Linked DNA regions of Daphnia pulex. The protein of the gene in region 2 purifies or fractionates together with the protein of the main gene of each other region. This does not show direct contact. Links are inferred from orthologs where the notes say so. Each region holds a gene or a part of one and is shown on either strand. Other genes may lie near its edges.

Region 1 (4,322 bases), on a different chromosome or scaffold from region 2:
TCTCGAACGTTTTCCTCTAATTTATACCGCATAGAACATTTAGACTGGAATGACTTTATTTTCTTTTTTAACTTCCCTTCTAGAACCGGCGGGTTTGAAATAATTGCGACCGAACAAACAGAAGGCGGCCAAAACAGGCAAAACAAGAAGTTTGCCCAGGATGAGAGACAACAGGATTCGTAGACATCAACAGGAACGAGCAGAAAATCAACAAGACAATCAAACCGATAATCCTCTACCTGTCGGTGACTCGCAACCCCAGCAGAAATTGGCCAGGGTACGCTTTTGTTTTTATACTCATCGTACAATTGTCTTACATCATTTGATTTTCTCTTTGTTTTTCTTGAATGACAGGTCGAAAAAGCCAGCAATCAAGTTTCTGCAGCCGTTGTAGAAATGAGTTTCTAACTATAACAAAACCAATTTGTTTGACTTTCCAAGTTTATTCGAGAACAGCTTGTATTCGTTGCACTTTCGATTGAAGAAAAATAACGATAAACAAGAGAGTTCGTTGAGCAGAACAATAATAACTCTCTCTCTCTCACCTGGTAGCGACGCGTACTACATAGGGTACACTACTACATTTCCTAAAGGTATTTGCGTGGGTGTCTCACGTTAGATTGCTTTAATTGATTTTATTCTACCAACCCTATATTTACTCGAGAAATTTACTTTTATGGTTGGATTGTGATTGACAGGCGGCAAAATGATGTGCTTTCCCAATCTCGCCCATGAGGCAAAAGCCGTGGTGTTCGTTTCGTGGTTGTTGGACGCCCACCAGGTGTAACGATTCAGGTACGCACTGTTATGCTTTGTTTTGATATTTTTTCTTCAAAACGTTATTTTGTATATTTTTCCCGTTTTGTTTATAGATTTGCACAAATATTTTGAAAAAGCGTTTCGAAAAATTGAAAAACAGACCATCAGAATATCAATAACTTCTATGTGCTGCATCGTCCTCATCGAATGCGGTGTCAACATTTTCTTTTTTATCGTAGGAAGGACCAAATTAATATTATAAGTAAAACATAGAGCCCTTAGCCGTGACAATTTTCACATATGTCCTTGTTATGAACTTTTTTCAGATGATAAAAACAAACAATCCATTACTCCCCTCCTCCCACAATTCAGGGGATTTCTTTAACTAAATGGGAAATCCCAACCGTGCAACAAAAGTTTGTTTTTATTTTCTTCTCTCTTTTTTATATTTGTCTACTGGAAGCTGTTAGTTAGTGGAATAGAAAGTCAAAATAATCGTTGAATTGAATACATTTTTTAAATCGTAATTAAATTGAATGCAAATTGCGTTGCTTGACAGATTGGAAATAGTAATCAGTAAATAATAGCTTAATGTTGTCCTTCCTTTTAGCATTTACTTAAGTGTTTTGCCTGAGGCTCTGCCCCAAAGGGTATTAGATCTACCGCTCATTTTGAAATTACGGGCAATTTTCGTTCTGGAGTATAGGATAGCAACAAAAAATTTACCCGTGAAGGTAAAACCGTTATAATAAACATTCAATTAGGGAACTTTATGTTTGAAACACGTAAAACCTGGCGGCTGACTAATTTGAGAAATTATGATTGTTTTCAGTTGTGCTTATCAAACGAACGATTGCTAACGGACAACGCCAACGACGTATTTAAGATTTTAAGGTACACCTATAAAATATTTCTCATAGATTAATATTGTCTAGAAGCTTTAGATATTTAATGGTATGTATTATATCATACTATTACTATTTATTAACATCTCAGTTCAATAGAAAGGGACTGTACAATGTGGGGGAAATTTACTAATAAAATGTTTGTTTGTTTTTCAGTAGTAAATGACACCTATTAATTGTGAGTGGGTACTTTCTTTAAGACTGATGTTGACTTGTTTGATTCTTAATAATCTTCTGTCAACATTCTTTCTCTATGAAGTCCTCATTCAAAATGGATGATGTCCATTGCAATTTTATTTGACAAGTAATTCGTAGTTACTCTAAGCAAGCAAAAAGATGTTCATGTTATGTTATGTTAATGTTGAACTTGAACGGATTAATATTTCATCAAGAAAAAATGATAGAAATGAACATTTTGACAGAGAAAAAGTGAGTGACAAGTCAACAATAACATATGAAGTGGAATGGTTTTCGTCTGCTGCCGTATCGATTATCGATATAGAATATTGTTTTGTTGATTTCATTTTACAAATGCACTAATGAGATAAATAATATCCCAATAATAATTTATAGTTTTTTTTTATTTTGTCTCTCCTTAAAATATTAGGACACATCACTCTGATTTGTCAAATAACGCGGTGTATACATCCGAATCCTGGAATACGGTGTTGAGCGACGGAAAGAAGGGGGTTCACCAATTTCGGCCATCTTTAGCGAAGTAAGCACGAGGCTTTTTCACGGTTAACCTGTGTCATCATCGGTTGAAAAGAAACCGGCATTTAATGGTTTTGGGAAACAAATTTTGATACTTCACTGCGAGAACAGGATATTCATCCTCATTAAAAAGATGCCTTCCAGTCAGCCTCTACCTCCCAAAGAAAATGCCCTGTTTAAAAGAATTCTGGTAGGGTGTTTATTTGGAGAAAAAAAAAATATGTTGTGCAAGCCCCAATTAATCGTTCGAAATATTGTGATTTACAGAAAAGTTACGAACAAAAGCAGTATAAAAATGGACTTAAGTTTGCCAAACAGATTCTCAGCAATCCAAAGTTTGCTGAACATGGAGGTACACTCTGGAGCTATTCATTTACTTTATGTTTATGTATTCTTATTATTTATTAACAATTTTTCTGTTTAGAAACCCTCTCAATGAAAGGTTTGACTCTCAATTGTATGGGAAGAAAGGAAGAGGCTTATGAACATGTTCGTAGAGGTCTCCGTAATGATCTCATGTCTCATGTCTGTTGGCATGTGTATGGGCTATTACAGAGATCAGATAAAAAATACGATGAAGCAATCAAATGCTACAGGAATGCATTGAAATGGGATAAGGACAATGTTCAAATTCTAAGAGACTTGTCACTACTTCAGATCCAGATGCGTGATCTTGAAGGATATAGAGTAAGTAATCAGTAATTTAACTATAATCCCTATTTTTATGTTTGTTACTTGTGAATTTTGAAAGGATACAAGGTATTCTCTATTGAGGCTACGACCTGGCCAACGAGCTTCTTGGATTGGATTTGCCATGGCTTACCATCTACTTCACGATTATGACAATGCTCTCCAAGTTTTAGACGATTTCAGAAAAACTCTTACCGTGAATACCCTTGAGTCAATTCATAACACATTCAAATCATGTTATTATTAATTTTTTTCTCAATATAGAAATCCAGCTATGACTATGAGCAGAGTGAGCTTTTACTCTACATGCATCAGGTTATGTTTGAAGGTGGTCTTTATCAGAAATCTTTGTCTCACCTTCAACAATTTGAAGACCAAATTTGTGATAAATTGAGTTTAATGGAAGCTCGAGGTACGTGGCTCATCGAAACCATAAAAACAAACAACACAGCAGACCGGCAATATATTAATGTCTCATATTTGATTTTTAGCACAACTCTACCTCAAGCTCGATCGCCAGAAAGATGCCGAAGAAGAATACCGTAAATTGCTAAAACGCAATCCGGATAACCGGCAGTATTACTTTGGATTAGAAGAAGCTCGTGGACTGACCAATGAAGATATAAAGCTGCAAATGTATGCCGAGCTTCGCGAGTCTTATCCACGAGCCATTTTGGCCCGAAGAATACCACTTAGTTATGCCAGTGGAGAAAAGTTTCGTAGTTTGGTAGACCAATATCTACGTCACGCACTGCACAAGGGCGCTCCTCCTCTATTTGTCGATTTACGTTCGCTGTACGCCCAACCAGGAAAAGCAGCCATTATCGAGGAGCTCTTACTCGGTTACATAGCTAGTTTAATTAAATGTGAACGATTCGACGAAAAAGGTTTGTCTACTATTTTCGATTCTTTGTTGAATTCTTATAGGTAATGTTGAATTAACTTGATTTTAGATGTGAAGGATGGTCCAGCAGAACCGGCATCAGCTATTTTATGGACTTACTATTATCTAGCCCAGCACTACGATTTTCATAAGGATTCCGCCAAAGCGTTGCATTATATTAATTTGGCCATTGATCACACTCCGACGTTGATCGAGCTCTATGTGACGAAAGGACGACTGTTTAAGGTTAGACTTGCCATTCTTTTTTTCTTTTAGTTGAATTAAATATCATTTACTATCATAGCATGCTGGAAACCCTATCGAAGCTTACCGCTGCTTAGATGAAGCCCAGTCTTTAGACACTGCCGATC
Region 2 (2,896 bases):
TAATCTGTTCATAGAAACTAAATAATACGCCGTGTTGTTATTAAAGTTTTTGGTAGACAATCAATGACCAAACAATAACACTGTTAATGAAAAAAAAAACGGAATTCTGTATTAAACGCACTTCAAAATTTGAAGTATTTTACACAGAAAACTATACATGTTAGGAAAATATCGTTGAAAGTATCCAGGTTCTTACAGAATTCAGTCAAGGACATGGGAAAGAGACAAGGAAGAATTCAAAAAGCTTTAAACAATGCTTCTAAATTATTTACAGAAAGCATTCTTGAGGCTTCTACAAATAGTCCAATTCTTCCGGAATTCCAAATGCTTTGTTTAATTGGTTATCTTCCATAAAAAACTTTGATTTGCACCAGGATTTGACGGCGAAAATATTATCTGTCCAACGGTTCGCAGCCTCCAAAGAAACCTGTGAGAGCAATTGCTATAATATACTATGAAAGAAACTGCCAACACAAGAAAGACTCACCTGAGATTCTGCTTTTAGTTTTTCAAGTTCATCAGGATCAAGTTCTTGGTATTCAATCAGACTTCTTTTCAATTCAGCGTTTTGTACTTGTGCTTCCTTTAACTTTTGTAATAATTCGTCTTTTGTATCATCATCCTGTTGTCCAACCTAAATTACGACAGTCAGTTAAGTCTAAGTGCACAAAAACAAAAAAGATAGAAAATTATCTAATGACGCCTCAACTTACTCTTTTTTCTGCCAACTTTGCTTCAACATCAACTCTCAACTTCTTCAGTTGTTGACTAGAATTTTCCAGTTGCACTAGTTTCTGTTTTTTTGCATTGATTGCCTTACTAGGAAAGGCCCAGAAATAAATTGATGTGCCAATTTTGTCTGTATCAACCATTCCATCATCCACCAAACTTTGAATCACATCTTTTACTGTTCCTTGTACAATTCCTTTTTCTTTTGGGGCAATTTTTTCTAATTCTTTAAGCTGGAAGAAGTCTTTCTTTTCATAAAAAATTTCCATCATGCCTTTACGTTTCTCCTCCAGGCTAAGTCCACGTTTTTTGGATGTCATTTTAATGTCAATATTTTAACTGTTTGACTTAATAGCTTCTTTTCCTCAAATTTATATTGTAATAAGACGAGACGACACGTTTTCTTGACGTTTAACTACTACTCTTTAACCAAGTGAATTTTAACTGAGAAATTCAAAAAATCTTGTGACGTTGCCAGTTGAGCCACCTTGAGAGGCATTCACAGATAATGCAATTTTTTTAAGTTTGATTCGTACGGACTTCGTATGGATTTTTTTTTATTTTTTCGATTCATTTTATTAGCAACGTGGAATTTTATTATTGAAACTGTGAATGATTGCAAATATTGTTTATGAAAATTTTGATCTGTCGATGTCGTCGCCGCACCATGGGTTTTTTCGGTTTCGAGTTCTGTCTGCTGTAAATTTCCGAAATCACATCGATCAAAACGTGAGCCCCCTTGAAATTTGACTGGAACAAAAATGACCAGGTAAATAAACTGAATGTTTTTGGGGAAGTAATTGGTAAAGCATTCCACACAGTGTTTTTAAAAACAAACTCTATTATAGCTTACCTTAAAGTCTTAACAAGCTGTATGTGTGACTGCCACTGAATATCCCGTTTTGCATGCCGATGACAATTACAAAGGATTATTTTATTTCAGGGCAACAATAGAACTGGGGGATGTCACACCTCACAACCTACAACAACTGAAACGATTGAATCAAGTGGTATTTCCAGTTTCCTACAACGACAAGTTCTATAAAGATATTCTAGAAGCAGGAGAATTGGCTAAGCTAGGTACCACATACTTGATTTTCCTTTTATTTCTCCTTACATTTATCACATTTTATTGTGCAGCATACTATAATGACATTGTGGTGGGAGCTGTATGCTGTAGGATCGATATTTTAGATGGATCAAGAAGATTGTACATCATGACCCTGGGATGCCTAGCTCCATACAGGAAAAGGGGTATTGGTGCCAAAATGTTGGAACATGTCCTAAACTACGTGGAAAAGGATGGGGATTTTCATAGCATTTTTCTGTAATTATATTTTATTATTGAGAAAAAAAAATATGTTTTTAAGACTTAACTTTTCAAAACAGCCATGTTCAAGTTAACAACCAAAGTGCAATTGACTTCTACAAGAAATTTGGCTTTGAAATTGTTGAAACAAAAGAACAATACTACAAGAGAATTGAGCCAGCTGATGCACATGTGCTGATGAAACTTTTAAGGCCACAAAGAAGTCTTAGTGAACCAGAAAAATGAATTATGATAGGTTAAGCTAAGGTAACTGATAATACAGAAATGATCATGTCACTTTACTAATAATTGTATTGAACTGAAATTACTACCATTCAATCTTACACATTTTACAGCTTAGCTCCCATAATTTGTTAATGATTGTGGAATTTGAGCTAGCTTTAAGTTGACTTTGATAAACCTTGCAGTCACGATAAAAAAGTCCCGTTTCATTTTCCGTTTCCTCTGATACTGCACAGTGGATCAGAGTTTGAACGCCCTAGTAACAATTCAATTTTAGGTATGTTTAACAATATTCTGTCGGCATGAAGTACTTACAATTCGAGCAGGCTTCATAAACCAAAATGCAATCGGTATAATGGCTATCCATGAATAAAATGGTACTGATGAATAGCGGAAAAGCTGTTTGGATTGCAAATTTTCATTATTAGACGTTTAGACGGTGTACGCAAATTTAAGCAATTATTTTGCATGTAACAAATAATAAAATCAGAACTTGCCTTAGTATAATTCCACCCTGGGCAAACCGTATAAACATTTACTCCGTGATTCTGTAATATGCAACAAAGTTAAATTTTGTTTAATTCTTATTAGTGTATGAACCAGAAAGAATTACTG

Evidence for each region. The genes of interacting proteins can lie anywhere in the genome.
Region 1: the proteins of probable N-acetyltransferase san (region 2) and N-alpha-acetyltransferase 15, NatA auxiliary subunit-like purify together in Drosophila melanogaster (affinity purification with mass spectrometry, with the first as the bait; 3 studies listed by BioGRID). This does not show direct contact. The link is inferred for Daphnia pulex from reciprocal best matches to the Drosophila melanogaster genes san and Naa15-16.

The regions. Positions count from the first base shown.
Region 1 is NC_060019.1:10,600,680-10,605,001, reverse strand, and holds the start of N-alpha-acetyltransferase 15, NatA auxiliary subunit-like, read left to right. Parts: upstream 1-1,516; 5' UTR 1,517-1,653; intron 1,654-2,271; 5' UTR 2,272-2,511; coding exon 2,512-2,568; intron 2,569-2,645; coding exon 2,646-2,730; intron 2,731-2,802; coding exon 2,803-3,065; intron 3,066-3,129; coding exon 3,130-3,264; intron 3,265-3,332; coding exon 3,333-3,480; intron 3,481-3,559; coding exon 3,560-3,955; intron 3,956-4,021; coding exon 4,022-4,197; intron 4,198-4,255; coding exon 4,256-4,322.
Region 2 is NC_060018.1:2,102,577-2,105,472, reverse strand, and holds probable N-acetyltransferase san, read left to right. Parts: upstream 1-1,350; 5' UTR 1,351-1,490; coding exon 1,491-1,498; intron 1,499-1,672; coding exon 1,673-1,809; intron 1,810-1,869; coding exon 1,870-2,056; intron 2,057-2,118; coding exon 2,119-2,284; 3' UTR 2,285-2,340; downstream 2,341-2,896. Other genes in the region: meiotic nuclear division protein 1 homolog, read right to left, coding at 293-427, 488-634, 714-1,049; retinol dehydrogenase 12-like, read right to left, coding at 2,367-2,537, 2,597-2,680, 2,779-2,829. UniProt on the Drosophila melanogaster protein: N-alpha-acetyltransferase that acetylates the N-terminus of proteins that retain their initiating methionine. Has a broad substrate specificity: able to acetylate the initiator methionine of most peptides.